2 linked regions of the Oreochromis niloticus genome follow. The protein of the gene in region 2 interacts with the protein of the main gene of each other region in a pairwise test. Links are inferred from orthologs where the notes say so. Each region holds a gene or a part of one and is shown on either strand. Other genes may lie near its edges. The genes, in order: ptk6b and fcho1.

What was found.
Region 1: the proteins of fcho1 (region 2) and ptk6b interact in binary tests that used the Homo sapiens proteins (3 or more experiments, as listed by UniProt). The two-hybrid records come from large-scale screens. The link is inferred for Oreochromis niloticus from reciprocal best matches to the Homo sapiens genes FCHO1 and PTK6.

The regions. Positions count from the first base shown.
Region 1 is NC_031984.2:955,246-963,078, forward strand, and holds the start of ptk6b (protein-tyrosine kinase 6b), read right to left. Parts: upstream 3,316-7,833; 5' UTR 3,078-3,315; coding exon 2,659-3,077; intron 1-2,658. UniProt on the Homo sapiens protein: Non-receptor tyrosine-protein kinase implicated in the regulation of a variety of signaling pathways that control the differentiation and maintenance of normal epithelia, as well as tumor growth.
Region 2 is NC_031981.2:2,372,265-2,380,811, forward strand, and holds the start of fcho1 (f-BAR domain only protein 1), read right to left. Parts: upstream 3,405-8,547; 5' UTR 3,247-3,404; intron 1-3,246. UniProt on the Homo sapiens protein: Functions in an early step of clathrin-mediated endocytosis. Has both a membrane binding/bending activity and the ability to recruit proteins essential to the formation of functional clathrin-coated pits.

The sequences.
Region 1 (7,833 bases), on a different chromosome or scaffold from region 2:
AATGCTGTTTCAGTTTGACCTCACGGCTCTAAGCTTTGGCTGTGAAACATTATTTAATCTGAGAGCCGTGTGACAGTTTCAGGTTTTAAAGGTCGCACATCTTTGCTTTGTGCCCTTGCAGGATTTAGTGATGGTAAAGTCAGTACTGAGAGTTTATTGGGAGAGCAGAGAAGCTCTATAATTAAACGGAGCAGCTGGTGACATACGGGAATAGCCACGCTTTGCACACTTCCCATTCTGCTGAAGCAATAAACTGTGAGTGAGAACGGCAAAACGAGAAGTGGTGAGCTGACCGTCGGTGTGTGCGTCCCAGTTTGCATCACAGCTGAAACACAAACACGGGCTGGTGTGATGTAAAGCTGTGACATTTCTCATGGTGCTCACAGCGTACGGCTCAGTCAGGATCAATTAAAGCTGCCACTGTTGGACAACCACAAAAATAAACGAGCAGCACAAAGTGTGACGTTATAAAGACGAGCAGCTCGCTGGCGTTTTATCACACTGTAAATAGAAGACGGATGTAACTTGTTTATACTTTCACATTTTGAAGCCTCAGTCCATTTCCTGAGGGGAACATGTTTGGATGAGCGGGTGGAGCGCTAAGTTATCAGCTGATGCTATCTGGGTCAGCACAGACTCTATGGGTGCATCACTCAGACACCTGCTGATCCATAACATCCAATCAAAATACTAGAATTTCACTCAGCAAACTTGGAGCTCCACCTTCTTGGATGCTCTGTTAGTACAGTAACCTCACAGCAGCCATAATACTGGTCACATGATGTCATTAATAACAGAGGTCTGACTAAAAGCCTAGCAGACAGCTAGCAGCTACAGCCGCCTGTGTCACCACCACCTGTCAGTCAATGAGGCCACGCCCCAATAATGCAAACTCGAAGAAACAAAATATCTCTAGGGACCAACAAGTTTGTGCATCAGGCTGCAAACATGTTTATTTCGGCTGCAAAGTTTTAACATGAGAGACTCGTTGCTGGAGCCCCTGCTGGACGTTACAGGAACTGCAGCTTTTGAAGCTTCAGTTTTTTTTGTTTGTGTTTTTTAACAGGTCAAAAAGATGATTAACAGCATCCAAATATTCATATCAAACGTTAAAAAGCTGAGCGTTAATAACATTTAACCTTCATAATGTGAACTGTTCATTTTTTCACCTAAAGCAGAGCTGTCAAACTCCAGTCCTCCAGCGCTGCTGTCCTGAAACTTTTCCATGTATCCCTGCTGCAGCACACCTGGATACAATAAGTAGGTCATTAGCAAGACTCTATAGAACCTGACTGCATGCTGAGGTGACAACCCCCAACCCTACTCAAGTAAATTTAAATACAAGTGTTTGGAAAAAAAGTACTTTTATTGCACCATGTTCAGCCACTCATGAGCTGCTGTAACATGAATCAAATGGCTGAACTGCCACCTCAGCATGCACTCAGGTTCTATAGAGTCTTGCTAATGACCTACTTATTGTATCCAGGTGTGCTGCAGCAGGGATACATGGAAAAGTTTGGAGTTTGACACCCGTGACCTAAAGCGTCTGATTAGCGGGGCTGCTTTTAACGCTCCGTGCTGACTGCCTGCATCTTTTCACAGAAGTGACAGGAAAGCAGAACTTACAGAAACTTCCACTTTTAGGCAGAGCTGTAAACAGGACGCACATGCCCACTTTACTGCAGTAGAAAACAGCCGTTTGACTCCCAAAGTGCCTTTTTACAGCACTCTGCTTCACTGCTCACCTCAGTTTTACTAATGCGATAAAGGATAAATGTGTGATAAGGTGATAAAGGTTAAAGGAAGCGTTTACAGTTCCTGGCAGGTAGGTGGACATTGTGGACTCTGGCTGATAATAAAGGTGTTACACATCCTGATTTATGCATCTGCAGCTGGAGGCACAGCAGCCTCGTGAACATAATAAAAAACGAGATTCTGAATGTGGGCTCACACACACACACACACACACACACACACACACACACACACACACACACACGTGTGTGCAGGTGAAGCAGCGTCTTTGTTCCACTGAACTGTCAGCTGTCTGCTCAGATAAAATGAGTTTCTGCCTTTGAGCTGGAAATCTTCTAGCTTTCCTGTCAACACCTTTACCTGTTCTGTGACATATTAATCAGAAATTACTGTGACACTTTTCTGAAGTATACACTTAATGTACTCGTACATTCTTGAAAAACCACTCTGCTGCTTCATTCTTGTGCTGCGTCACATTTTCAGTGTAAACATTTAGAAGCTTTAGTGTCTGCCTGTTGTACTGACTTTATGGTGTGAATCATATGATGCTGTGTAAATAAAGCTGCCCCAGTGTGGAGGTCATTAAATCCCCTGCAGCTGCTGCATTAAATCAAATCATGGATGATTATACTGCCACACTTTGTGCTGAAGCTTTGCTCCTGTCGGGTTTGAGTGTAAACTCTGTGTTGGACAGGAGAAGCTCAGAGATGAGACACCTGAGCTGTCTACTCTCGGGGCTGGATCAGGTGTGTTACCCCTGAAACAATCCTGGAAATGTCCTGCTCTACTCCTGCGACACAGACACGCCACGTGCTTCTGTCTAACGCGGACACCGGGATGGCCCTCGGAGCTCCCAGAGGCGAGAGCTGCTCTCTGGGAGCCGTCAGAGGAAGCTGCACTCACGGCTGCACGTTGATGGACTCTGCCCTCGCCAGGTAGTTGTTGGGGACGATGCCCTGCGCCACGACGTGCCCGTTGCGGTCGATCTTCCGCGCCGTCCACCAGTCTCCGCTGCGGCTGACCACCCTGAACAGGTCTCCCTCCTGGAAGGACAGCTCCTCCTGGTGCCGGGACTCGAAGGGCCACATGGCCGTGTAGATGCAGCTGCCCTCGGAGGCGGTCTCCTTCGGGGGCTTCGGAGGCGGCGTCGGGGCCTGGGGCTGCTCCCCGTCGCTGTCGCTGCAGGTGCCTCTGCGTCCTCCTCCTCCATCCTCTTCTTCACCTCCTGCTCCTCCCGCTGGCTGAGGAGCCTTCTTCTCCGTGAGGATCCTCTCCCACAGTGACTGCAGGCAGGGGCACGCTCTGCGCAGACACTCACCCATGGGTGACCATGAACGGCTCCGCGCGGGCTGTGCGTCACCGCAGCTCGGCTCAGTCAGCCCGCCACACCTGTCCGACAGGTGCAGAGCAGGGAGCGCGGAGAATGTCGGGAATGCCTGAGAGGGGAACGGCGCAGTGAAACTGTACGGGCCGAGCCCACGGAGGGACTTCCTTTAGTCACAGAAACCACGGGAGCCCCGCCCCCAGAGGGTGTCATCAATCTGCGCGCGCTCACACACACACACACACACATCGGGGTTTTACAGGTGCGCAGGTGTCTTGCCAAGGTACCCCGCACGCTCAGCTCGCGGGTTACAGCAGGACGTGGTGACAGCATTTCATGTCCACATGATTCACTTACCTGATTTTTTCTAAAATGTGCCAAATATGTACAACAAAGTAATTAAATGATGTGTTTAAGTGTTTGCAATTATTTAAACATAAATGAAATGCGTTTCAAATATGATTTTTTTTATTTTACACACCTTTTCGGTGACACACGCTCAATTTCATTGTGTCCCACAGTGCCCTTATTAACTTCCTCCAGACGTATATGTCATAAAATTATATATATCAATTTGATAGACTATACTAAGCTTTATTTTATTATGCAATTGAATCTGATAAAACTTATTTACTTTTTTCTTCATAATGTACTTGTCCCAGTAGTAATTTTCCACCCTGCTAGAATGTGCTTTATTACCTTAATAAGCCCATAAAAGCCATTTACAGGAAGTGGCATCATTTGTTTTTGGTGGGAATTGAACTGTGGAAAATGAGGTAAACTTCAACTGTCACTTTACTTTTTTCATCTTAAACATTTTACACCTGTATGGGTCAACCTCAAGTTTCCACCCTGTTAAGGTCAAATGAGGAAAATGTTAATTAAGTAGAATATTTTTAAAAAACATGTTGGATTGAGTTAATAAAGGTGTGTTCATTTATTGACGGTTAGCTGGCTAAATGTTGATCAGCTAAAGAGCTACAGCTAGATTAGCTAAACAAATTCCACCCTGTTAGGTTCATAGACTTAACAGGGTGGAATTTGGGGGGGAACTATCACGTGAAAATGATAAAAAGAGAGCAATAATTATTATTGTTATCATTAATTAATAACAAAGAGAGGAAAGATAGTCAGAACTGAGGGGATCGAACAACCAGAAGGCAACATTGCAGACATAGAGGACAGATACAAGTGACTAGGGGCGGATCTAGAAGGGTGGCATGGGGTGGCAAGTGCCACCCTAAAATGATCCCTTGCCACCCCAAGTGCCACCCCAGTTTTGCATATGACAGTGTTGTTTATTAAAATAAGATAGCATTAACAGTTTGAGCGTAGTTACAGTCAACAGTGAATATAAATGCTAAAACTGAATATATTGCATAGTGTTCCCCCCTCCACCATTAACAAATGGTTCAGCCCATAGCAGGACCGGCTTTTTTCTTGTTATCAGCAGCAAGCGATGCTCATGATTGTGCCAGAGCACATTTTGAACAACACCATGGGAATTTTGGATTTTGCACAGGTGGTTGGATGTTACACTCTGGAAATGGAAGCAAGGTGAGTGTTATTAACCCTCTGTGGTCCACGGACACGCTGCACCTCCAAATCACATGACTGATGTAAGCTGACACAGCAACAAGCTGCAGCCACGCTGAGTCTCTATTTCAGCCCACATTGAAAGTTCGGACTTCCAAGTTTTTACATTTTAATTACAGGCCAGTAAATCCAGAGTTATGATAATATATATAAGCCACGCTTTTTTCTAAATACTGTCGTCACGTTTTTGTGTGTGTGTTTTAAGCGTTTTCTAAGGTCAGCGCGAAAACAGTAAAGAAAGGAAAAGAAGCCACCTCTTTGCTATCAGTGGAAAAATGCACCATGTCGACCAATTTAAAAAAAAAGTCAACATGTGGGATTTTGTTGTTTAGGAAGAGGGGAGAGTTTTGGGAGTGACGGTAACGGCAGCGAGACAGAGCGAGCGAGTGAGAGAGGGAGAGAGAGAGAGGGAGTTTTTAGATGTGGGAGATTTGTGACGTTTAGTGTGGAGTGTATACTTAGTGTGTTGTGTTGTCTTGTGTAGCTGTTCTGTTGTGTAGTCGTTTTGTTGTGTGTGTCAGTGAGGGCACTAATGAATGTCACTAAGGCACATTTGTAAACACTGTCACTAAGTAGAAAACCAGCGGAGTGATACACCTGCTGTTGTCAGGCCTGCAGGTTTGTCCCTGTGCTGCTCTCCTCTGTCTTTTGGTGGAAAAACTTTTTTTACTGGCACACATCATTTGTGAGGCAAAATGTACAATTTATATTTGCATTTCAAGTTATATAAATTTACTCAACATGTCTGTGGGTTTTTTTACAGTAAAAATACTACTAGGATTTTAAGTTCTTTGTGTGATTTCAGATCAGTAATAGTACTATTAATAGTAATAGTAGTACTAATGCAGTATGTCAGTGACAAAAACAACTAAATTCAGTTGAGCTGAAAAGATACCAAACAAGGCAAGGGGGGGGGGGGGAATAAAATGAAACAATCTGAGGGTGAAATACAAACGTAAACTCAAAAGGAGTCAAAAATGGCCGCTTGTATTTCAGACCTCAGAGATCCAACAAATCATGAAAAATTAGGTTTAAATTTTTGTTCATGACAGTGCAGATTTCTGACATTTTGTGTAATTTAAGCTGTAACAATGTGACTGTTTTCTAACCAAAAACAGTGAAACTTAAGTTAGACTTGTGTTTGTAAATGAACTGCTCCATGTTGTGTAGCTTTCTGGATTTTATACTTATTGGGCTACATATTTATTTATTATACAGGCTATACAGTACATAAGATCAAAACTCACATGTTTTATGTAACCAAAGTGTGTAATTATGTGGGCTACAGACAATAATTAAGTTATAGACTATATTTATATGAAAAACGTGTATACTTACTGCATTTGAATCATTTTAACCATATGTAACCACCTGCATATGTGTTTGGAAAAAAAGCCTTGATTTTGCCACCCCATTTGATTTCTTTGCCACCCTCATGCCACCCCAAGAAAATTTGTCTAGATCCGCCCCTGCAAGTACCCACAGGGAATCATGAGGAATACCTCAGGCAGCAGAAACCCAAGACAGAGGAGGAAGAGGAGGAACCATCATGGAAGGACAGGCCCCTGCACGGTATGTACCCCCGGCAGATAGAGGAGGTGGCTGATATCCAGAAATCCTACCAGTGGCTGGACAAAGTTGGACTGAAAGACAGCACAGAGGCACTAATCATGGCAGCACAAGAACAAGCTCTGAGCACAAGATCCATAGAGGCTGGGGTCTATCACACCAGGCAAGACCCCAGGTGCAGGATAGACCGCCCGCAGGGGGGAGAGGGGAATTTCTATGTGGTACTATGGTGTGTGTCACAGTGTTTATATTCTGATGTACTTTTTAATGAACAAATATATATTTCCACCCTGTTTGGAAAAATGTTTTTTAAAAATAATTGAATAGAATCATTAAGAAAATGTCATTGTGAAAATGTCTGTGCCAAGTTGAGAAGTCAGGAACATTAAATGCACAAATATGTATATGTTTTTAAAACTACAAGTATTTTACATGCTGTTGGAAAAAAATGGGTTAAAAATAAATAGTTTTTTGTATAACACAGACTTATAGTATTTGTAATTAAATTACCTGTTACAGTTTCAAGAATAAAACATTATATTAAGAAAAGGGACACACTCTGTCTAAGAAAAAGTGACTATTGATCAATATTTACATGTTTAACTATTTCTGGTCTGGGTGGCCATGTTTAATAAAACTACCTGTAATTACTATTTTATCTATCCTGAGCTTGACCAAAAAGAGAATCAGCCTGGTGTCAGATAATCAGGCGTGGGTGAACTCTCCGAGCAAACGGCTCTGTGCTCGCTTCGTGACGTCACCTGACTGTTAAACAGTTTATTCTGTAAAACACATTTCTTTTTGCACGCTGCTTCTGCTATTTTGACATTTTTCTTTGGTGAAGAGCGCCGAGTCTTTCGTGCTGGGAGGTCTCTGTGTCATCACTATAATCTCAACTACCAGATTCAAGCTCCAAAATGTTGAGATTACTTCAAACCTGCACAGTGCAGGGGGATCTCAACTCTGCGTTTACACCTTGAAGCATCCTGTTGATGTCATATTCTCTTCAGTAAACACAGTGTCTGCTCTAACATCACGTTTCTTATTCCTGCCCACGCTGCCGCCGTCTGTATCAGCTGCACCAGCAGCCCGGTGGTTTCACGTGGTTTCTGCAGTCAGGGGGAATCTACACAGAGCCAAGCTTTGCACCATTCCCCACCTCTCTGTGACTCATGACCACTGATCAGCGGTTATGATCATTAGTGATCTTAAACTGACCTCACGGCCCATTGTTAGTCATTGTGCAAATGTGCTGTTTACAAGTCCAAATGTTTCAGTGGGAGAAACGTTTCGTCACTCATCCCAGTGACTTCTTCAGTCTTGGATGATGATGAAACGTTTCAGTGAAAACGTCCAGATGAACAGAATCAGCTTCCCGGGATCTGGATTCTCTGCTGAGGTGAAGGATCATTTGGAGGGACCGTGGCTGCGCTCGAGCTGGTCTTGGACCTAAAAGGCAGATTTATCTTCACTGCTGCACATTATCTCGCTGGAGATGAGCTGTATGTGTTATATTACAGTGCTGAGTGTGAAACAGATAACTGTTAAAGAAGTGTTTTTGTTTGTTGGCTTACTGTTTTTAAAGTGTT
Region 2 (8,547 bases):
AGCACTACGTAATATTTAGACAAAACAAACAACAACAAAAATAAATAAACAAATAAAATAAGTGTGAAAGGACTAAATCTAGCAACACAGCTGGTAAGTTGGCAATGATGAGAAGAACTCTGGTTGCCAACTTCTTCACTGTTCAGTGACGATCAGTGAAGGAGACAGAGCCAGGCAGACGAGCTGGGATGGTTCGTGTGAATCCCAGACTTAAAACCAAATCCAAATAACGAAAAGTCAAATATTTTATACGTGGAAAACAGGACACTGGCAGAACTGTGCAACGTCTCACCGTACAATATTTATCCATATCTCTTGCACAGCACCTGTCCAGCACTCAGACAGCCAGACTTTCTGTCTTCAGCTGCTCCAGAGATAATGCAAAGCCTTACCAGGCACGTAATAATATCTGTAGGTTTGTGTGCTTTTGTCTTGAAAGATGCAGTGTTTCGCACACACACGCACACACACGCACGCACACGCACGCACAGAGGCTTTTACGCTGGGTAACTTGGACTCATTGAAACATTTTTGCCCATCTGTCTCTGATAAACAGAATCCAAGTCTATGTGAAACACTGAATTCCATTAAAAGCTTTTTTTTTCTTCTTTAAAAAAAAAAATATATATATATATATAAATAAACTCATCTTTCTAACAATTCACAGGTTGCTGCCCATAAAAGCCACAAACGTGCCCTCGACCTTGAGTCCAATTGGGCTGAAGATCCATTAGGTGATTACTGTCTGCAGGGTTCGGTAAAAATCACACAATACTCAAGGATGAGCAGCAATTCTGGTTAAAATTGGAAAAATGCCACCTAAAATGACAAGTATGACCTTGACCTTGAATACAGTACGAGTGAAGACTCATTAAGTGATCGGTGCGTACAAGTTTGATTAAATTCTGTTGAATACTGTGGGAAGAGCAGAGATTCTTTGCGACTGCCGTGGTATAAGCTCTTCGCCACATAATCAGCTAAACATCAGCATCTTCACAAGCAACTACTCAGCGAATGCCAAATTAGCTGATTTAAGACTCAACCTATGATGATGGCTTCAGTTTGACCGAACATAATGCACATGAATCTAGATATCATACCGAATATAGACTAAGACTCCCAGGAAGAAAACTCCAATGCAAACACACGCCCTTATAAATGTCTATAACCAAAATACAAAATAAACGCACAACATCAAACGGCCTAATAAAAATGACAAACTTAGACCGCATCGTCATTTATGTTGAAACCAGTATACATGTCCTTCTACATCGAGATCTAACTTTTGGTCCATGTGTAATCAGATTTTTAGGCAGAGATCGGGGGTGTGAACAAACACGCAGCTCAGTGAGTGAATGAACAGCGAGCGATCAAATGCGATCCGTTCTAATGACGTCTGTAAACAAAAGAGTTGAGAATAGAAATCCATTCCTCCCGACGCTGCTGCATTATACTTTATTTAATGATAGTAAAATACCTCCTTTCAGTATTTTCTCTGCATCCCACTCATCCTGACTCACAGTCAGGAGGAAGCAGAACCTTCTTGTAGTCAAGGCACAAGGGAGAGTGTTGTTTACCTCTCTCATATCAAAAGATCCCGGCAGCTTTCAACTCTCAACTCCTGCCACTTGGTTTCAAAGACACGCAGAGAAAGACAGCTGTGCTACAGTCTGAGGTTGCAAACACTGCGGCTCACGCTATACATGTTTGCAAACTAACATAATGTCATGGCGAGAATGTCTATCAGCAGTCAAAAGGGGATTTCCACACAATGGTTTCTTTGGTGCAACCAGACAGTGGTTGATTTGCACCTCAAAAGTGATGCAACAAAATTAAATTAGCTTTTACTTACACCTGAAGATTTTTCACGTCTTTCACCTTTTCAAGTGGATTCAAGATTAGGCTAACACTACTTAATCTACCTTTATTTGACAGCAGTCAACAGAGTGACAGAGAGAACGTGGAGAGAGGGGGTGGATCTGATTTACATGTAGGTTTGCTTGTTTACCGACAATCAGGACATTATGAAACTGCCAATATGTCTTTTTCAGTCTTAACTGAACACTTGAGTTGAGTGTTCAGTTAAGTTGAGTGTTTCACTCATTGTGTTGGCCCAGAATTTCACAAACGTTTAAGACGCTAGAGCAGTCATTTGGCCACCGGCTGATGCTGATTTTTGTTTTATTGGTCTAATATTTTTGTTTTTTATTTGCCCAATTGTTCCAGAGAACTGCCAGTGGCTCTTGCTATCATATTTGCAGATAACCAATATGAGTCAACGGGGCTGGTATCAGCTGATTTCCATGTTCTATTGATATCGTGTTTCAACTCTCGGTTTAGTGTCTTTAAAGGTACAGAAAAGGCATGCAAACTGAAATGTAGCCCACAACCCAGAGAATATGTCCATTTATTAAATGATAAACCTATTGCTTGGAAGTATTAGAAGAAGTCACTCGGTGAATGTCTTCAAGTCACTCGGTGAAGCCTGCTACACTTCTAAGAACTGACAAAGGATATCTAGGACAATACATTTACAGTCAAGTCAGTGAAGCCCCACAGTGGGTGTGAGATCTGTGATGTCCAGCAGTTAACCCAGGACTGGTTCTGATCCACCTTGTGGGCATCCTCACTGGTCACGCACATACCACAGCTGATATTATCAGCTGCTTTCAGGTTATCACAGATATACCTGTACGAGCATACAGTATTTTAAACTCTTAAACACCAGTATCGACACCGGCCTATAAGTCAAAGGTTTCCATGATTGCATAAACTTGTCTAGTAACGATCATCACAACGAAAGACAACCTGCTTCAGCATGCAGGAAACCCCATCTTCGAGCAGTTCACCTCCCAATGACACAACCCTGTGGCAATAAATTCACTCAAGTCCCCCAAATGACTGCAAAGTAGCATCACAGAGCAGAAATAACCTCTCAGTGTGACCCAGGCTATTAAACATGTTTACGTTAGCAGGACCAAAAAACAAAATGCAAGTGCCTCTGCAGTAACATTAAGGTAAAGTTCAGGTTCTGGCCATAGCTTATATTTTATACCCACGTACTTGTCTCACCCAAGTTTCTCCTTCAGCGTTAGCTGGATTTCCCTCGCTTCAGATGTCAAATAAGCGTGTCTACTAGTGCCCGATATTTTTAATAGCGGTAGCACTAGCGCAGTCTTTCTAGGCTATTTCTGCCTACAGTGAATGTCACAAAGGAAGGCAGAAGGAAAATGAAGAATGTATTACCTGCACGGAGTTTTCAGACAAAGCTTATCGCACATTTTCCATCCCCGGGCTTTCAGCGGCTTCGACACTTGAGCGTACCCCGAGCGGTTCTATGTTAGTAGTAGAAATTCACCAGGCAGTTTCCAGTGTGAGCGCAAACTCCCGCCCAGCTCAGCGCTGATTGGCTACTCCTCCCTTCAATCAGAGAGGAACGCGGAGTAGGCATAGCAACCACAAGAAGGCGGGTCTAAAAGTGTACACCGGCAGCCCATTGGATAACTTCTCCACAAAATCGAGAATATGCAATTTAAAACGAACCTTTAGCCTTTATGCGTTTGTACAACAAAATCAACAACAGGTCGGCAAAGTTCAGCCAACGAACAACTTCTGAAGCCTTTAAAAGATGATCGTTTCTGTCTTTATTCTTCATTCTCCTACAGCGTCGCCTTTTGAAACTTTTAAATTTGGAAACGGTAAATATGACCACTCAGACACATTTTCTGTTTCCACATTAGATGTTGCAGCTGTTAATTTAAACCAGGGGCCTCAAACTTAAATGAGCTGTGGGCCCCTGCGGCACTGTCGTCTCATTGGAGGGCCACTTTAGTGTTTAAGTAGTACAAAGAAACAAACAAACAAGAAAACACCCACAAATATTTCTGAAAATGTAGTTTTTTGATTGTTTTTTTACATTTCAAATATTGTATAACAAGACAAAACTGCAAACATTTCACACACACCAGTACCTCATGCCCAGTGAATAAAGCCAAATGCACATATAATGAAGTAGAGCTTTTCTCGGGAAAAGCACTTTTGGCATGTGTCCACTTAGAAATTAAATAATAATAATAATAATAATAATAATTGTAAAACAGAAATTTTCTCTGGGTTTAATTCTTTCACCATGGCTCCTTTATTGAGATCAAACCAACATTTTAAGTCATAAATCCACTGGGAGGTAACCTCCAAATTAACGCACGTATTCTTATTGAATATCTAAAGAACTTTCAAGTTAACTGCAATGTTACATTCCCAAACTGGTTAAACAAATGTGAATTTTCATAAGAGTTGGGCCTTAAACATGTCTATTTCCGTTGTTTTTGAAGTACCATATTCACTAGCTACCTGACTTTGGGAGAGACTACCCTCAGCAGTGCAGGGGGAAAGAAGGGGGAGGAAAAATAGAAACTACTTTAATCTACCAGAGACATCAGGTACATCCATGCATGTGCCCAGAATACCCACTGGATAATCTGGCCCAGGGTACAAGAGTGAGTGTCTGCAGCTGTCTGTATAACATGGTGGTGGCCGTGGTTTGGTGCTGCATTTCAGCCAGTGGTGCTGGAGCGCTTGCATTAAAGCGTTAAAATGTATGTAATTATGAATGCCGAAGAGTATTGTAAGATTTTGCTCCACCATCTGGAAAGCATCTGACTGGCAACAGTTTAATTTTTCAGCATGACAATGACCCAAATACACTGCCAATGCAGTTTTACAGTCATAGATTGGCCTCCCCAGAGCCCAGACCTCAACATTATTGAATCAATGTGGATCATCTTGATCAGAGAACAGAACAAAAGTCAGCAAACGCCCAAAGAAGAGCTTTGAATGTCCTTCAAGAAGCCTAGAAAACTGTTCCTGAACACTACATATACCAAACACTGAATCATACAGACTGTTTTTGCCTTACTCTACTTCCATGGATGCATGCATGTATTTCCACTATATTTCAAATCAATGCACCTATTTCCATTTTCCTGGCAAAATGTAAAGAAATCAGGACTGGCTCAAGGCTTCATTCATTTATCATCTCATGTCACCATCAGAGTCAATCTTAGCTGTAGCACAGTTAATGATGTCTGTGTTTAAATGTCTCTGTTGATGTCTCTGTTTAAAAGAAAATATATATTTTTTTCTAATAAGCATTCTCTGCTCTAACTTTAAAAAGTGTTTAAAAAAGCAGTGATTTAAAGGTTTACAAGTCAGTAGATCATGAAATGAAGAATTAACCTTGAAAGATTAATTTTAAGACATTTCAGGCCTGAATGCATGTGTAAGTGCAGCAATCAAAATATTTTTTCAGCGGGGCAGGTGGCAGAAATATATTAACCCTCATGCCAACCTCCTAATGAAAATCAGATGGTGGAGACACTGACAGAAGGCTTTCAGCAGGTGATGGTTTCAGGCTGACTGACTGCGAGAAGGTAAAACAAGTCTTCTCCATCAGTTCCTCAGTGAGGCCTGTAAAATACACATCAAGCTGATAGAGAGGGTTAAAAGAGAAGTAGACTGCTGATTTTTTCAAAAGATAAGGACACAACTTTATTATATAAACATTCAATATACAATTGTCAGGGTTAAAAATGGTATGAGGGTGTAGTTGTGTCTAATTTCAACATGGCCCACTTCTGCAATTAAAAAAAAATATATACATATATACACATAAATGTGAACTGCAAAAACGCAGGCCCAAACTCAGCATGGGGAGCCTCACATGGGGTCTGTAATGTTTGTGCAGCAGGAGAAACATTTTTCAAATTAAGCCGACTGCAAGCAAGAATGAGCCAAGCAGGAAGAGCAGGAGTTATTTTAATACACAGGTGTGTCCAGACCTGCTGAGAGATGCATCAGGGAACAGCAGCCCTTATTTCTCCGCGATGTATGAAATGCATAAAAGTGTGGCGATGCTTTGGTTGATGCAAAGCTGCTGCCACTCACTGCTGTGCACCTTCACTTGCCCTTTCTGGTGCTGTTATACATCAAAGACACGAGCGGTGAGGGTTTCTCTGCTGGAGACGTTGATGCTCGATTCAACGATAAGCGGTGCAATATTGCAATCCACACCGGGTGCAGGAGAACATCATGTCAAAAGCACTGAAGTGCAGCTCAGCTTTAGTGCTAGAGTTAGTGCTATTTCCTGTGAGATGGTTAGATTAGATCACTTCCACCTTTACAGTTTGCACGAGGCTACAGCGAACCACAAAGTCACGGAAGAAGATATTTTAAGATGTCTTAACGTGAAACATAATAAACAAAATGTACATCACGTCGGGCATTTTTCACGCGTGTGTTGAGAGAAAGAGGATCTGCAGGATGCTGGCACAGAAGCTGTGTGATCGCTCTTTTTGCAAGCAGTGTGACTGGCATTTCCTCCTCTTCCATCTGCAAACACAAATGAAACAGGGGATAATTATCAGAGCCTTTAATCCCCGGCAAAATCTCACAAATAAAATGAAACGAGCTGTTGAATTTAATTACGTATCATCAATCCCTGCCACCTGTTGCTGTGTCTATTCTTATCCCGCTCGACTGTCGCTTCTGACACCGGCTGATGTGCTCTCATTTGTCTCCCTCTAAAGGCTCTTTGTGAACATGTTCTCACTCGCAACATCAGTACTCTTTAAAGATATTTTTAAAGGCGCTGGAACGATTTCAGATGGCACAAAAGGGAGTTTCGTCACCTCATTTTTCTTTTTGCTGTCTGCCTAATTTGGTCTGCTTGAAATGGAGTTTAACAGGAATTGAACTAAAACAGACACAAATTGTTGGCAGGACACGCCTGTTGTTGTATTATTTCTCGTTTCTATTGGGAGATGGCAAGAGTAAATATTATCTAGGTCGAGGTCCACCGTATGCCCACAGGCTCTGCATCACCTCTCCTCCTGTGCGTCTCCCTGCTCCTGCCTCTCAGCGGGCACTTTCAAATCAGCTTAACTCCTGCTTGAACAGGCAGGCAATTAAAGCTGCCGAGACCGAGGATGGAGACCACTGCTGAAAAAGCACACGCAGACAGAACGAGCGTTCTTTCCCCCTCGGTGGTCCTCCAAACTCCCCAGGAGACCCAGAGTGCTATCGATCCATCTGTGGTAATAAGTGCCTTGTGCCACGTCTCAGTGATATCATTGCCTTTGGCTTGCCGTCCCTCTGGGTTGGGATTGTGTCTCTCTGTGGGCTTTGTTGGCCTGTAGAGAGGTGTTTCAGAGAGATGGCTGCTCATGTCTGTGAAGAGGAAGCGACATCTGTCAGTAAAAAAAACTCAAAACGGCTCTTAGATTAAATGATCATTTTTCTTCCGTTGCTTTCAAGAACATCCACCTATTCATGGATACTTTACCTACTGTATGTATTATTTTTTCTGTGCTTATTTTTTTGGATGAGACAAGGAAGCAGATCCTCTCCCTCCATCTCACCCCATCCCTACCATCCTCTTCTGTCACAGCAGGATTCTCCACGTCCTCCTTCACTACAGCCATTAGTCTTCCTCTTTTCCTCCTCCCTAGCAGCCTTCAGCATCCTTTGTCTAATATGTCCACTTTCCCCACTCAACCCAGGCTGTCCCTCTGTCATACTCATTTCTAATCTCTGCCAGCAGTGTAAGTCATTAATTTGCTGTCCATCCAGATAAATTATACATTTTTTTACTCAGTTCTTAAAGCTATCACATTATTGTTTTCGATGTCTTGCAGGAGGGCTACATTTCTAAATTAAAAACTCACTGCACACTGAAATAAGCTTTAAGAGAAGATATCTCTAAGACTGGAAACCTTTTAACCATCCAACTATTATTACGCTGGTTTCTACATGAGTTCAACATTTTGGCAATTACTCCAAAGCGGCACTGAAAGTTGCAGACACAAGGGGGCGTGCTTACTCTACTTTCTAAAATGAACTCAACTTGCACTTCTTCCTGTCACTGGGTTGTTGTTGTTTTGTTCTTATGTTAAGATCAGCCGGTTTAATCTCATTTCACAGTATATGAGTGAGAAATATTTTCCTGTGCGTTGACCCGACTGTTTGGTCGGCTCGGCCACTTCAACCAGATCTTCTTCTTATTATTGGGTTGACAGGAACGTGCTAATGAGCACTTTTCCTCTAACTGAACCATGACATGATGGAAAAATACCACATGCATGATAGGGTCCGTCAAAACAGCCACACAAGGCTCAAATTATTAAAATGTCTTATCTGTTAAGAAGGATGCTGTATGTTCCACTTACAAATAAATAAAAATAAATAAAGCTACAGGCTTGTTGTAGGTTTCTTTCTCTGTGTTTTACAGGTAAAGGTGTACATTTTAAACTGTGTTAATCCTGCAACAGTGTACATGAAAACACAATAAACATTCTATAAATGAAAATACAGAGAAATAAAGTAATATGTTACAAATTCAAATACATTGTTTCAATTTCATTTACATTGAATTTGCTGTGAATTAATTTTACAGTAACTTTAATAAATTACTGTAAATTCCAGTTACAGCAGCAGAGTAAGAAGAGTGTAGAGAATATGTTGATTATGGGTGGAGGGAGTTACAGCCAAACG